2 linked regions of the Daphnia pulex genome follow. The protein of the gene in region 1 binds, or shares a complex with, the protein of each later gene. Links are inferred from orthologs where the notes say so. Each region holds a gene or a part of one and is shown on either strand. Other genes may lie near its edges. The genes, in order: dystrobrevin beta-like and beta-1-syntrophin-like.

Region 1 (7,630 bases):
GCACATTTTGCCAGAGTCTGTGATGGATGCAAAGTTTGAAACACCAGAAGATTCCTTTTCTTCAGGCCATCCCATTATTTTATACCTTCATGGAAATTCAGGCTCAAGGGCAGGCAGTCATCGTATAGAATTGTATAAAATCCTGCAATCTTTAAACTACCATGTGGTCACTATGGACTATAGAGGTATAGTAATCTGTGTTGCCAAGAGTTCCATGACCACGTAATTTACTAAATTTGTATTATTACTCACAGGATATGCTGACTCAACTCAGGCCCATATGTCTGAAGATGGTGTCATTACTGATGCAACAGCTGTCTACAATTACATAAAGAAACATTCTAAGGATGCCATGATTGTTGTTTGGGGCCATTCACTTGGTACTGGGTAAGTGACTATATAGTACTCAAAATGTGATTATTATAGTTAAATATTTCTAAATTTCCCAACAGTGTTGCTTCAAGAACGGTGGGACAACTTTGCAGCGAGAAACGGTCTCCCGATAGGTTAATTTTGGAAGCCCCCTTCAACAACATTCGAGATGAGATTCGAAATCACCCACTTTCATATGTAAAATAAACATATTTAAGATCTTCAAAACTATAACTTAACACTTTTTTTTACTAGATCTTCCGTCCTATCCCCGCATTCGATTGGTTTTTCACCGAACCTCTAGTCGCCAATGATCTTGCCTTTGATAGCGACTTGCATATTCCCAAAATCGACAGCCCAATTCTGATTCTACATGCTCAGGACGATGCAGTGATCCCCATTATTCTTGCCAAGAAGGTAATTATCATTATAACTGTTTTGGTCATTTCAGAAACTTAATTGGATTTTTTTCTCTTCGACTAGCTTTACGAAGTAGCGCTGAACAAGCGTCCTGCCGAATGGCCTCCAGTGCAGTTCGTAGAATTTCACTACAACTTTGGATATGCTCACAAATATATCTGCAGAGCTCCAGAACTGCCATCGATAATTCAGTAATACCCATATTACATTTCCATTGAAAAATCGATGAATTAAATTATTAATATTATTGTTTTTTTTTTTAAATAGGGAATACATCGATTCAAGTCTAGATACAAGGAAATCAGGAAAGCAACTAATTGCATAGTCGTTCCCGGTGCATTCATTTTGATGTGACTTTCTTCCAAACGCGGTTTAGGCTTTGCTTTGTTTAATTTAAATTGACTTGCGGCTGATTTTATCGCCGCAGCATTTTCTCTGAGCCGAAATGAAATTATGACCGAAACGAGTGCAACTTGTAATGCATTTGATACCAATACCATGACGTGTTGTGCCTATCTGTCTCTCCTATGCGAATGATTCAAGACGAGTCCTATTTTTTCTAATTGACTTGTCTTTTATTTGCCCTTTTCTCTAGTAACCTTTGTCTTTTTATGTGTGAGTCGTTTTACCAATCTTTGAACCTAGTCTAAACATCCAAATGAAATAAAACATTCCCGAACTCGTGGCACGTTGGCACTCAAAACATTTAAACTTTTCAAAACAGAAAACCATTTGGTACTATTAGAAATGTATCATGAAACAAAGAAACTCTTGCTAATGACGTTTTATTAGGGATCAGCCCAGGATGACTATACACTTGCTGTAACCATACAGTCACTCGGAGAGTAGTGGTTACAACAGGCTCCTACCGGACTCTTCTCCCTGTCTCCCGCTCTTGAAATCGTTACCCACAAGGTTGACGGATACGGAAGGTATTCGTGTCTGATGACAAGTAAAAAAGGGAAACAAAGTAAACCCTACATATACAAACCCTCTCCTTCTACTCCGCTCCGGCTCCCTCTGTTTCCAACTCATTTCACTCGTGTTATCTAAACAACCCCTGTAAACTCCACCATTGGCCTCCAAGTTCCCTGTCTATTCTTTGCCAGACCCCAGTCAATAAGGTTTTAGAGTAAACCGCACCCGTTTATACCATTCCCGCACCGGCTAGCAAGTTTCCTCTTTACTTTGTCTGTATATACCTGCTTACTCCATCCGACTCAAACTCCCGAGAAGAAAGTTCCCGGCTCACGAATCGTAATCCGCTAAGTGATGTCTGGGTATTGATGATCATAGCACGTTTTGATTAGAATAGTGAAACAAGTTTCCACGACCATTTTTCCGCAATTTTCGCATACTTTCACGTCGAGTACGATACTTGAGTTCAATCCCGATTTTAATTTTCCCACTTGAATATTACCAGCGTTGATAATGTGATAATGTGGCAACTTTCCAACACCAACATAAATAGAAAAACTAAAAACTTCTAGAAAGCCAGACTAAAGAGAAACTTCCACGTCGATTACTTGATATCAATCCAGATTTAAATGTTCCCGCTTCTGGAGCATGCTTGGAGTCTTGGACATTCCAAGCGGCAAGCGGTAATAATATGGTAAATGTGGCAACATTCCAACACTAGGCAGGAATAGAAAAAAAAAAACTATAAATTTGCAGTCTCGGTTCCAGTATCGTCTCTAATTTTGAGAATTATATATTTATACCTCTTTCTTATCAAGATTAATAATATTCGTTAAGTGAACACTCTACTTCAAGTTACAGTTTCGTGCACTGTGCAATTACTAGAACGAAATATTTGTGTATACGTCTACAGATTGTATTTTGAAGCATTCAGTTACGTCACTGCTGTTTCTTTTTATGAAAACATCAAATACTTGCGCCAAACCAACGACTAATTAAGATCATACTTCACAGGATCATTTCTGTAGTATATCTTGACTTGTTTCCCACCAGAAACTTGTCTCCTTTCAACCCACGATGAGGAGTAACGACGCTGGCTTCTGAGCGTGAAGCAGGTCGGGAGTGTAACTGCTTCGGTAGTATCTACTCTTGTCCATTGAGGACCGTTTCCGGTATCTCCTTGTGAGAAACTGGAAGGAAGTCAGCGTGTTCTGAGTGGTGTTATTAAATAAATAAATATTAAAAAGAGAACTAAGAGTGAAAAAATGCTGTAAATTACATACAAATATTTTACACACTTACTAAAATACAAGCGGCTATTTCATTAATAAAGAAGGCGGATATCCCGTGTCCTCGTTTTTATAAATATAAACAAACTACAAGTGGGTGGAGTACGGAAATTGGAATAATAGCTTTCCGTGAACATATCTTTTTACAGTTTCGAATTTTCACCATTTACAGTACCCATAAAAAGCCAGTAGTAGCCAAACATCCGCAATTTAAACGCATGTGCTTGTGCTACTAATTGAAATCCCAGCAGGAGGTTTGGTTTACTTCACATTTTGCATAGTAATTTGAATTAGCAAGTTATAATCAATCCTTGTGTGCTGGACGTCTTTTTACCCTTTGCTCCAAGCCTCAAAACATCTCCTTTTTTAATCAAAGTTACGTTAGGTTGTATGGCTATCGCTAAGGGCATTTACTTTATGGCTTGCTAGAAATCTGAGGCGAGATTTGAAAACTTCAAATAGATATCAATCTGCCGCTTGTATTTACTTATCGACCAACACACCAGACGTCTTACACTCTAACCATGTTTGGAAAATAAATCACACAAGCGTTATATTGGGAATTTCTAGACGAGGGTTACGACGTTATGTGGCGTGCTCGGGCATGCTCCATGCAGTCTGTTTAGTATCAACAACTTCAGAGAAGGCGCTGCAGCTAGTTTAGCATTCCAAACAGCTGATCAAGCTATATCCTTGTTTTTGCATGTGCTGCATAATATCAAAGTGCAGGGTGCTTGTTGTTTTGCTAGTTCTTTCTCACGAAGTCGTACAGATCGGCTTAGCGGTAGCACTAAAGCAGTTCTGATTTTAGCAGGCTTTGAATACCAAGCTAATTCACTCTACTACCTCTCGGGTGTTTGAAAATCGATCGTTGTACGTGAATATAATTGAATATCTAGGATCAGTATGGAACAAAATGAGTCGGGCAAATTGGACTTGGCAAATGACATCCACACGCAGAATTTCAACGTCATTCGTCTAGCTTCTTATCGGACGGCTGTCAAATTCCGTTTCATTCAGCGAAGAACTCATTGTAACACATTCATACATTCCTAAAATATTTTCTAGTTGAATTGAATTCATTTGGTTGTTATCTCTACAGTGCACCTTATCGATGTGTGGAATCTAATTGAGGCCTTCAGAGAAAATGGATTGAATTCGGTGGAGCCCTACACACCTATGACTCTCAGTCGACTTGAGACTTTGATAAACACCCTGTATGTTCATTTAAACAAACGGGTCCCCATTGGGCAACAGCTTCATGTTGATCCTGCGACCATGTATCTTATCAAGTGGATTGTGTCTGTTTACAACCTGTAAGTGATGATAATACTTTGCCAAATGGAGCTCTATAAAATTACAATCTTTTACAGGAATGAAGAAACTGATAGGATCCCTGTCTTTACAATCAAAATGATTTTAGCCGTGCTGTGTGGTGGAAAGTTGGCAGATAAGCTTCGCTGTAGGCTACCTATTCCTTCTTACTCACAAACTTGGATTTAACACAAATGCATTTGCTTCCAGATGCTTTTTCTCAAATGTCTGACTCGAATGGACAGCTTGTTGCCCCAAAATTTGAAGACTTCATGCGTCAGTGTTTTGTTCTAACAGCTGCAGTTGGAGAAGAGCCTTCATTTCATTACAGGCCGGCAATGGCTCAAGAAATCTTTCCAAATGTATTTATTTTAATGAGTTTGTTGTATTCTTTACAGCTCTATTAAGAACTTGATCTTATATCTTTTTCATAACAGGGTTCCAAAGTGAGTGTAAATGAATTCCTTGACGTCCTCTTGGGTGACCCTGCGGCAGCTCCGTCATTGGTTTGGCTTCCTCTCATACATCGTATCGCAGCTGCCGAAAATGGTAATACCCAAGAACGTCATATTGGATGCTCTTGACCGTTGAAATTACCTTTTTTAATTGCTTGCAGTCGTTCATCCCGTGGAATGCGTTTCTTGTGGACGCACCCGTTTCAGCGGTTTACGATACAAGTGTACCAAATGTCCTTCGGCATGGAGCCATCAGTGTCAAGAATGTTTTTGGCGTGGACTTTCTTTTTCGGAGTCGCATAATGCCGATCACGAGATTCGCGAGCATCACACGCCGGTATGTTGAAAGGGGCATTAGATAACGAAATCTTTTGACTGGGATATCTCTTAAACGCCGTTTGATATGCTTATTATATGCTCGTTTATTTATTCACGCTTACTGATGCTTCAGGCAGCAGAAGAGGTATATAAGTGAGCATGCTATAGATTGGCAAGCTAAACGAACCGTTTTGGCTAGAATTAACTGTTATTTTTTAATTTCCTGACGTTTAATGTAGAAAACCCCAAAGGAATCGGTGTTTTCGGCATCTTTGAGGCGTTCCCTTCAGTGCGTGAGAAGCCCCACGTCCGACTACGACCAGAATCGTACCAAAGTTTGGAGAACACTAGAGGGTCCAGAGAGACCCGTTGCAGTCACGTATATGTAAGAAGCCCTTTTGGTATATCCCATATGGTCTAGTGGCTAGGATACTTGGCTTTCACCCAAGAGGCTCGGGTTCGATTCCCGGTATGGGAAACCTTTTTAATTCCCATTTTTTAATTATCTGATCGCTATTTTAGACTTAGAATTACATATTACCCCATAATAAACCACTTAGAATTTTTCATAGTCCAATTAGTAATTAATGCATGCATTTTCCTTTCATTTTTATAGTTCAACGCCATCAGCGACATTGGAACGCAACGCTTCTCTATTGGGAGGTAGCGAGACATGGAAGACCAGCCAAGTGCAAAATAACACGGGAAGTTTGAGTCGTTCGTGGCAACGCGGAGATGATGAACACGGATTGATTGCGCGCTATGCCGCTAAATTAGCAGAAAATCAGAAGGATCCTCGTCCGGAGCAAGAGAGTAGCAGCACCAGTGCACACCAACTATTGGCTCAGCTTGAGAATAAAAACCAAGAAATTCTCAGAGAAATTGCTCGTATTCGGTACGACCCCCCGTGTTTCTGTTGGTTTACATTTTAAAGAAGTTTGGCCTAAATTCTATTGATCTCTGTGCAGTCACGAGCAGGAAATGGATGAAGGGGTCATAACGGGACCTTATCCCCTCATGGAAGAGTTGAGCGTTCTGCGGCAGAGGAAATCGGAGCTTGAACAGCAACTGAATGGATTACAAGACTCTCGCAAACAACTTATGGTGCAATTGGAATCGCTAATGAAGATGATCAAAGTAATTTGAGAAATCCTTGGTTCTCAAATAGTGCGGCTCTTAACATGTGACTCCTCGTTTTTCAATTCCCAGAATCAGCAGCTATCGCCCCGTTCTACTCCATCTACGTCTTCTACCCCAAGCCGTGGGAAAAGTCCTTCGGTCGAGGCCGAATCCCACCAAGCCGCCATCACCCCGTCAATGGATAATCCCAATCGTAATTTCAACACAGGCAGCTTTGATTGGCGCCAAGATTTGATGAGTGCTGCCGATTCAGTGACGGACGCCATGAGCAGTCTAGTTCTCGAATATAACGGGGGTGAGATTATGCTATATTTGAAACCAGTCAAATAAGGATGGACTAAAATGTGTTGTTTGTTTGTATACATTTTTCCAGATACTAGCGAAGATGAATCGGCTCGGATTTTCAACGGGTTGTCAAACGACTCGAATAATACTTGCGTTTAAGAAAAAAAAACTCTTGCCCACTTTTGGTTTTGTCACGTATGGCCGTCATTCCTCTCCATCTCACTTTTCAGTTGTTCTGGATTAAGTTCTCCCCACCCCCATCTTTACTGTTATGATAAGTACCACCAGTTATTTGGTTACCTCGTACTGCCCGATTACTTAAAATCTCCATTTATATTTCGGTAGCCTTTAAAGAAAGGTAATGCATAATCCTCAAGATGCATTTCTGCCTCCTTTCAATCAGTGTGTCGTAATAGCGCCTCTATGTACGGAACATAGGTGTAGCCAGGTAACATGGCTGTGGTCGGTTTTTGTTTTTTCTCCACTGGACTACTTGTTGTTGCTATTAGATTGTTATTTCAATTTTCAATTCTCGTTTTCTCACACTCCGTGCCACATTTCGATCGATCAGTAGAAGATTTATTGATCTGACTGACCAAAAAGAAAGAAAAAAAAGGCTGGCAGCTCTTTACTTAGTTCTAATAATAGATTTACAAGTCAGAAACTCTCTCATATTATTACTTTTTAAAAGATAGTTATGTGAAAACTCGTTAACTGTGCTGTTTATTTGCCGATGTGGAGACATTTAGCGTGGTTGCCTCTTCCTGAATACTTCAATCCCGTCCTCTTTTAGGTAAAAAAGTTCGTGAAAAAAACTGGAACATTTATATTGTTGTTTCGTTACGAGTGTTTGTGTTGTTGTTGTTGTTGGCAAAACAAACAGCAATAATAAACCCTTCCAAAATAACAAAATTTGAAATTTTCAAATCACGATAATCGTATTTGAAAACGCTAGATGGTGTTCGAATGCTGTTATCTACCTGTTTTTCTCAACCACCCTCCTTCTCCACACGCACATTCCTTTTTAGTCACGTGACCTGTTCTTCTACCTGCGCTCCGTCCGTCCGTCCGTAAGCTCCACAAATCCCCCATTGTTGGCCGGCCCAGTGCTGTCAGTAT
Region 2 (7,677 bases), on another chromosome or scaffold:
GTCTTTAAATATCACGTTAATTGAAACGGAAATTTTAAATTTGAAACTGATTATCTGAATTGAAGCCAATTCCCGACCATAGTCTCACCCAAGGAAAAACAATGCAAAACAAATAATAATAAACCAGCAACAAGAATCCCATGATCTGAATGTGTTACACAAATACAGCATAAGTGGAATGATGTGCCTTATTGTAGCCTGAATCATTGGGTGTAGCACTATGGCTACACCCAATCCAGCCAAGCGCTGGAGATTAATAGAACCGTACCGTGCCCACTTGAGATTGACGACATTGAAACAAGTCTGCATCCTGTTTATGAACGTGGAACGGTCTAATAATGCTGGAAATTGACTTTAAATATATTTTGCTATGGTTGATTAAGGATCATTAGAGGTTAGCAAATATTAATTATTTGGGATAGGTAATATTTGCGAACCCCCTAAAATTTAATTAGGAATATATATGTTTATGAATTAATTTCGGTGTTCTGTTTTATTACGATTATTAACCCAAGACCAGTGCCGACTTAGTTATAGGTTTTTTTTTCAATAATGTTAATCAGTTAACAGATATTCCAGAAATGTGCCATTTGCATTAATGTTTTTTTTTTTACCCTATCCTATTTCTATGGTTTGTGATTTTTAGATTTTCATCTTGCTAAGTACACACGTGAAGATTCATTGCTTGTTTTTTTCTGGTGCGTTTTAATCATGAATTGATTACTGTATTGACGAGGTACATTTCGTTTTAAACACGGCAAAACTTTCGAAATAATTATTTCTAGTTCAAATATCGGGTATTCTTGTTTCAGTTTTCTTGCGATCCATATGGCGAGATCCGATTTAAAAATTGTATTTATTACATTGAAAAAAAAAATCGTTTTGGGACATTATTCGTTAGATTAATTACGCATCGTAGATTTATTAGTAAATAAGGTTTAATTCATTTAACTGGAGATATACGTGAGAGGATACTGTATACTCTTTGGTGGTTTAAAAAAGGAGCTTAATTTTGAATCGATTAAGCTTGAACGACCCGAAATATTACCGTGAATACGGGTGAATAATAAGGATTCTCTCTCGGCACAAGTACACCATTATTCCAGACAAGAACAAGGTAGTTGAGGTGTATACGTTGGTCCCTGAGGCTAAGGCTTTAGCCTGCCGAGGGCCTTAACAGGGTTCCCGTAGAGCTCAAAAGTCTCCCTGGAAGGAAATGGGAAAAGGCGGAGCTTAGAGAGAAAAACTACCCCCACGTGACCGAAATCTGGCCTTGCTATTGGCTCCCGTCTCGATTTACCGATCGATATAAAATCGGAAATTCAGTGAAGCCTATACTCCCTGCCACGCGATTTTCAACTCACGGTCCCACATTTTTCAGTCACCGCCGAAACCTGAAAATGGAATTGCGTGGTATACCCAGGGGTAGTTTTTGTGATAGAAATGTAAATGTAAACAAACAACAGATTTAGAATGCATTCGAAGATTCGTGTATTATATTATCAAAGGAAAAGTAATTCAAAATGTTTTCCATGCCTAACAAAAATTGGCGTTTACTTCCGAATTTTATTTAAGTTAATATTTAATGTTTCGGTATTCCCAAGTTTCACTGTATTCATTCAGCTTTTTGTTATGTCCTAGTCCTAGTCCACAGACACATACCAACAGTTGCTTCCATTGAAAAAAAAACGATTAAACATTCAGCAACTTGTGTCAACAGTTAAATAATTGGTCTCTTACTAAATTAAGTCATTTCAGGAACTCAGCATGTTCTTCAGTATATCGAAACAGTGCCAACCCACCTGTGCCAAACTACATGTTTACAACTGGTAATTCGTAATCGCCCAGATGCAGAAAAGTTTAATCTTTAAACTGAATTTGTTCTACAGGAGTAAATGTAGCATGGATCAACTTACAGTGACCAACTTACAATGACCAACTTCCAGTGACCAACTTCCAGTGACCAACTTCCAGTTACCAACTTGTGGCTAGAGTCGATACTTACAAGGGTATTAGTTGCAATGCTTCCTGACATGGCAAATTATTCCATAGCAGAAATAGGTGAGACACACACATAATCATTGTAGAGTCTAATGTTCTATTTCTATACATAATTTTTTCATCATTAGATGCTATGTGTCGAAAAGCTAAAGTGTTTTTCCACTGTGATGGAGCCCAAGCTCTAGGTAAAATTCCAATTGATGTTGAATCGATGTCAATTGATTTATAAAGGTATTTTACAATTTAATATATGATTGTTATTTCGATGTAATTCACTCTTTTTTCGCATCATTATTTTCTTGAACTTGAACAAAAGGTGTTGGTGCTCTTTACGTGATAGGCCGACCACGGGTTAGGATTGAAGCTCTGCAATCTGGAGGTGGTCAGGAATGAGGGATACGTGGTGGAACAGTTCCTACTCCACTGACAGAGTGACAGTTGGTTTTGGCGCAGCATGTGAAGTAGCTCAGCAAGAACTTAAGGTTTTAGTTCATGTCATAGTAGTATCCATACATAACTAATTGATCAAAACCATGTTTTAGTATAATCATGCCAGATTAGTAAACTATCGCAACGCTTGATCGATCAGATTGGTAATAGTTTAACACATGTCGTACGAAATTGAGATCCTGAACACTCCTACCCAGGTTGTGTAAACCTTTCTTTCGCCTACGTCGAGGGAGAAAGTCTTTTCATGGCCCTGAAAGGTAACTTTAAAGGCAACTTCCACTACCTTTCATTTTAACTAATTCTTTTTATTACGTAAGACGTGGCACTCTCAAGCGGAAGTACTTGCACCTCAGCATTGCTGGAACTTTCATATATTTTGCGGACCATTGGCGCTGAAGAAGATTTGGCGCATTCTTCTATTCGATTTGGAATTGGGCGATTCACCACCGAAGCTGAGGTTGATTACACGGCAGAAAAGTGTATTCATCAAGTATCACCAAACTTCGAGAAATGAGGTATATACCGACCAGGTTTGGAATTCCCAGACAAAAAGTTTATTTTACTTCCGCTAAAAATGTTAATTTGTCCTTCTTCCTTATTTGTTTATTTTTGTCGAAATGAAAATTTATAAATGCAACGTCGTTCTTTTTTTTTTTTATGGTCAGTGTTTTAAAAAAGTAGAAGAGTATACAGAGTACAATAAAATAAAAAATTACAGAGTAAAATAAAAAATAACGACAAGAAAATGAAGCACAAGAACAAGACTGCCTAATTCCAAAATTCTTCCAAGATAGCTCTGTCACTTAGCCGAAGGCCAACGCTTGCAACGCGAGCCCTAGTATATACAATGTATCCACTGAAAAGTATTACGAAAAGACATCCGGGAAAAAAAATCATGCGGGCCCGCATTGAACCCACGAATCAACACAAAGTCAAAGCGGCAGTATCGGCAGTAAAAACCTAAGGGACTTCAAGCAATGTCAAGCTTGAAATTGACCCATTCTTTTGCCGACTAACGTCATAACGAAACCTTGGTTCAGCCGTTTCGTTTTAAGCAAGAGTAGAGGTAAAGGATAGAGAAGAAACGTGATATGGGTAAACTGTTGGGCTACGTCCCAAGAATTTGTCGAGTGTACATTTTATTATAGAGGAGAAGCCTGGTTAATGTTACTGAAGGAGTTACACCGACCACTAGGCAGTGGAGCACTGAACCTCACAAAATTTAACCGAATCTGGATGTTATATATGTAGCTGTGCTATGCAAGAACTGTAAAATAAAGGTAAGTTCACTCAAACTACGCTTAAACTTCTATCAACTAAATAGTGACAGCAACAACAAAAAGATAGAAATGGCAGTATTTTTATATTATGAAAACAGTAACAGCAGGAAGCCTTCGAGCAAGAAGTCAAGGAGCACATACCGGGCGTGGCTGATTTGGTTACTTGATAGTTATCACGTTAGATGTCTCTAGTGATTATTAGGTAACCACAAGTGTGTGTTTACAGTTCAGACACGATTCAGTCTCGAAAGTGACTGATTGTTATTATAGATATAGAACAATTAGATACAAATTTAGAAACAAAATACAGTGATGTGATTACAAGTTCCACGCGTGTAATAAAAGGTAAGGTTAGTTCATGTGTATGTGCATCTAGAGCAGCAAATTAGAAACAGATGGATGTAGTTAAAGATGAGCAGGCGCGACCATATTTTCACTAAACGTTTCTCGAAGCTATTAATTTATTTCGTTGTTATCGTTAGATATTATGTAGCTTTCAATAATTGTTACTATTGGTTATATTCTTCTCAGGTGGTGTTAGTAATTCTATTTCTATTATTTACAGAATAGAAATGACCAATTATGACAGAAGCGGTCAGGTGGAAGTATGGGCTAAAGAGGAATGGCACCCAGCGACTGCAACTTTAAATGGTGATGCCGGGTGTTTGTTTATTACACTAGAAAATCCTTCAACAAACCAAAGAGATGGCGCAGAAACTCTCAACACATCAGCAATTTCAGCTGAACAATATCGAGATTCATTGGCCAATCAGAAACGAATCGTCCGTATAGTTAAATCGGACAATACTGGTTTAGGCATATCAATTAAAGGCGGCCGAGAAAACCGAATGCCCATTTTGATTTCTAAAATTTTCAAGGGATTGCCAGCTGATCGAACTGAACAGCTTTATGTTGGTAATATCCTTAAACTTTTACTGTTCTAGTTCTAATGAGAGTAATAATCGACTCAATATAATTTTTCTTCTTAAATAGGGGATGCTATTCTGTCTGTCAATGGAGAAGATTTACATAACGCAACGCACGACGAGGCCGTTTCTGCTTTGAAGACCGCTGAAAATACTGTTGAATTGGAAGGTACCGTGTACATAGACGGATACTGTTGGAGTTATCCACATCAACTTTTCTTTTATTGATGAACTGGAGAAAGTTGTCGTGGATAGACTCATTTTCTTCCCTTACTTCTTTCATTCCGTTAGCTCTATCAGAACCTGTCCATCTCTCAACGACCATGTAATATCGTATAAAACAGGTTTGATCATATTGAAAGAGTGTCTGCTTGCATTGCTCTGGCATTTTTTTGCTCGGTTGCGTGTATTATTATTCCGTCACACCTCGCATTATCAAGTATTCCTTGAAAAGTAATTTAGTTGGCTTTTTTCTTTCACATTTCTTGTTGGTTTGTTTTTGTTTTAGTTTTTGTGCAAGTTTCCGAGTTAGCTTTTTTTTTTTTCAGTTTCTGCCCATTTCGTTTTTATTTTATTTTATTTTTATTAAGTTTCACCGCCTGCTTCCCTGCTAGGTTGATCACCAGTATCCGTCATATAGATGACTTGTTTGATGCATGATCCCTTTCTCGTTTTTTATTACCTCCACGATCGACTCCCTCGCTGGCCGTTTGTGTTGTGGCTTAGTGGTGACATCATTCTACATTGCAGTGAAGTATCTCCGCGAGGTGACGCCGTACATTCGAAAAGCTTCGCTTCTCAGCGACATCGGATGGGAGTTGCAGCGCCAATTCCTGGGCTTTTCCCACGTCGCCCAAACATCGACCAAACCGGATACGCGATCGGTCCCTCTTCTCTTTTGTTACCTAGCCAGGCGGCTGAAAGCGGCCAAGAAAAATGATCACCGTATTTTGGAAATTCATTCACCCGATGGATTACAATCTTGCCTTCTTCGTGCACCAGACACCACGCAAGCATCCCAATGGTAAAAATTTCTAATCATTTTTTAATGATTGAATTTTGTTTTTTAAATAAAAACCATTATTACTGTCAGGTTTGTATCCTTGCACACGACCCTTTCGGTGTTATCTTCACGTGGTTTAGCCGAGAATGGGCATCGGATTGCGAAAGCATTGAACACGGCTTCCATACGGATGTGGGGTTGGCTGGCTCTCTTGGGTCACCGACCTAAAGACGCCCAGAATAGTGTCAATATGGATAATGGAAGTTTGAACAGTCATGGCAATGAGCCATCATCCCTGATGAGCGAAAATTGGCAACCGGTATTTGTGGCCTTGACCGATCGTGATGTCTTGCTTTATGACTCGGTACCGTGGAGTATTGATGGCTGGACAAAGCCGAGTGCTCGCATACCACTTCTAATGACCAGGTATTATTATTATTATTATTTCTAATTCCATCTCCTAATCTATTTGAACGATATTTATCTTTTATAATTAGGTTGGTAAGCAGCAACAAGAGCAATTCGGAGGGAGAGTACTGCACCTTTTGCATTCGTACTGGAACATCAAAAGGAGTAGTCAATCGCGTATTCCGTGCGGAATGCGAACGCGATTTAACTTTGTGGGCCCGTGGCCTTGTTACAGGAACACATAACTGTGTCGTTGCCATCAGAGAAGCTGCTTGGGGTATTATAAGTTTTACATCATTATTAAAAATTCTAGGATCGTAATTGATTGAATATTATTTAGATTGTTTGTGGCGAGGACAAGAGGCTCGCCTTTATCTGCACTATGAAGACGGCTTGAAACTGTATCCAGCTAGCGAGATGCAGTCTGCTGAACGATCTAACACGTTGCCTGTTCCATTTTGGAAAGCTTCCTTTGGCAATTTACGCCATTCAGCCGATGATGGCGTGCGCATTTTGTGGCTTGATATCGGAAATGAAGAAGGGGAAATGGTAAGTCATCAGAGAAAAATATTAGTTTGAAGATAAGAAATAGCTTTAATCCCGCCAAATTTGTTTTATCTCCAGGAGTTGGACATGTTAACATGCCCGAAGCCGTTTGTGTTTACTTTACATTCTTTTTTATCCGGTAAAATCAATCGTATGGGGATGATCACGTGATTTTCCGGCGAAAGATCTTTTGCAACTATTTCTTTCCATCAATCATAATTCCGTTTATGCCTGCCGAAGACAAAAGTTTATACCAAGAGCGAAGACGCCAGTTACGAGAAGTAAATATTCTATTTCTTGTCAGCTACTGTGTGAGAGAAACATACAGCTAAAGGATCAGTCTACTTGTCAAAGTTAGATTGGTCTATATCATTTTGTTTACAACACTTTATATCTTTAATACACTGTCTGAGAAAATTTACAAGTTTTTCTCAACACCTCTAATTAGGTTATCTTATATTTTGATAAAGAAAAAAGAGTGTCATTGGTAGTTTATTATATATGGGTCAATCACGCTCCTGATTTCCAGACATCTCAAGATTAAATCCCCGGTCACGTAGAGAAAATGAAGGGAATTTGACTTTGAGGCGTGTGTATGCATAGGAAAAAATATATAGTATATAATATTCTTCGTGGAATGTTTTCTCCGAACCCAAGCATTTTTACTACTACGAACTTGTAAATTGTTGTTGAATATTCTGAAAAATTTACATTATTAGTGTTGCTGGCCGTCTAACTAGATGGCATTTGTTGTCGAGTAGGTTTGAAAAGGAACAATTGTGAGCATATAGCTTGGAGCACCGCCATCAGATCTGTCTTTGAAAGTACGTACTTGGATTTCGGAGATTCTTGCTGTTAGATAGACAAGACGAACATTTCAAATGATTATGCAAAGTCAGAACAAGATGAAAACTGAAATGGAAAGGATGCGCCCACAAGCTATTGGGGCCTTTTAGCAATTCCTATCGCTTTTGGCAATATCACGCAAATGTTATATGAACCATCTAGAAACAGGAGCAAACCGGCTCGAGCTGATATAATCGAAAAATTCGCATTCCTTAAA

Evidence for each region.
Region 2: dystrobrevin beta-like (region 1) and beta-1-syntrophin-like share a complex: the UniProt entries of both Caenorhabditis elegans proteins name them as parts of the dystrophin glycoprotein complex. The link is inferred for Daphnia pulex from reciprocal best matches to the Caenorhabditis elegans genes dyb-1 and stn-1.

What each region holds. Positions count from the first base shown.
Region 1 is NC_060026.1:13,044,611-13,052,240, reverse strand, and holds dystrobrevin beta-like, read left to right. Parts: upstream 1-3,611; 5' UTR 3,612-3,905; coding exon 3,906-4,032; intron 4,033-4,101; coding exon 4,102-4,315; intron 4,316-4,372; coding exon 4,373-4,461; intron 4,462-4,523; coding exon 4,524-4,675; intron 4,676-4,750; coding exon 4,751-4,862; intron 4,863-4,929; coding exon 4,930-5,105; intron 5,106-5,219; coding exon 5,220-5,231; intron 5,232-5,325; coding exon 5,326-5,471; intron 5,472-5,492; exon of another isoform or gene 5,493-5,564; intron 5,565-5,702; coding exon 5,703-5,981; intron 5,982-6,054; coding exon 6,055-6,223; intron 6,224-6,295; coding exon 6,296-6,521; intron 6,522-6,599; coding exon 6,600-6,670; 3' UTR 6,671-7,052; downstream 7,053-7,630. Other genes in the region: lysophosphatidylserine lipase ABHD12-like, read left to right, coding at 1-185, 255-387, 453-570, 628-789, 856-983, 1,060-1,117. UniProt on the Caenorhabditis elegans protein: Plays a role in cholinergic transmission and as a functional partner of dystrophin (dys-1), necessary for muscle maintenance. Required for localization of ctn-1 near dense bodies in muscle cells.
Region 2 is NC_060025.1:4,794,082-4,801,758, reverse strand, and holds beta-1-syntrophin-like, read left to right. Parts: upstream 1-3,407; 5' UTR 3,408-3,731; intron 3,732-3,915; exon of another isoform or gene 3,916-4,076; intron 4,077-4,296; 5' UTR 4,297-4,303; coding exon 4,304-4,646; intron 4,647-4,724; coding exon 4,725-4,826; intron 4,827-5,383; coding exon 5,384-5,681; intron 5,682-5,750; coding exon 5,751-6,086; intron 6,087-6,157; coding exon 6,158-6,345; intron 6,346-6,408; coding exon 6,409-6,617; intron 6,618-6,692; coding exon 6,693-6,785; 3' UTR 6,786-7,058; downstream 7,059-7,677. UniProt on the Caenorhabditis elegans protein: Adapter protein that binds to and probably organizes the subcellular localization of a variety of membrane proteins. May link various receptors to the actin cytoskeleton and the dystrophin glycoprotein complex (DGC).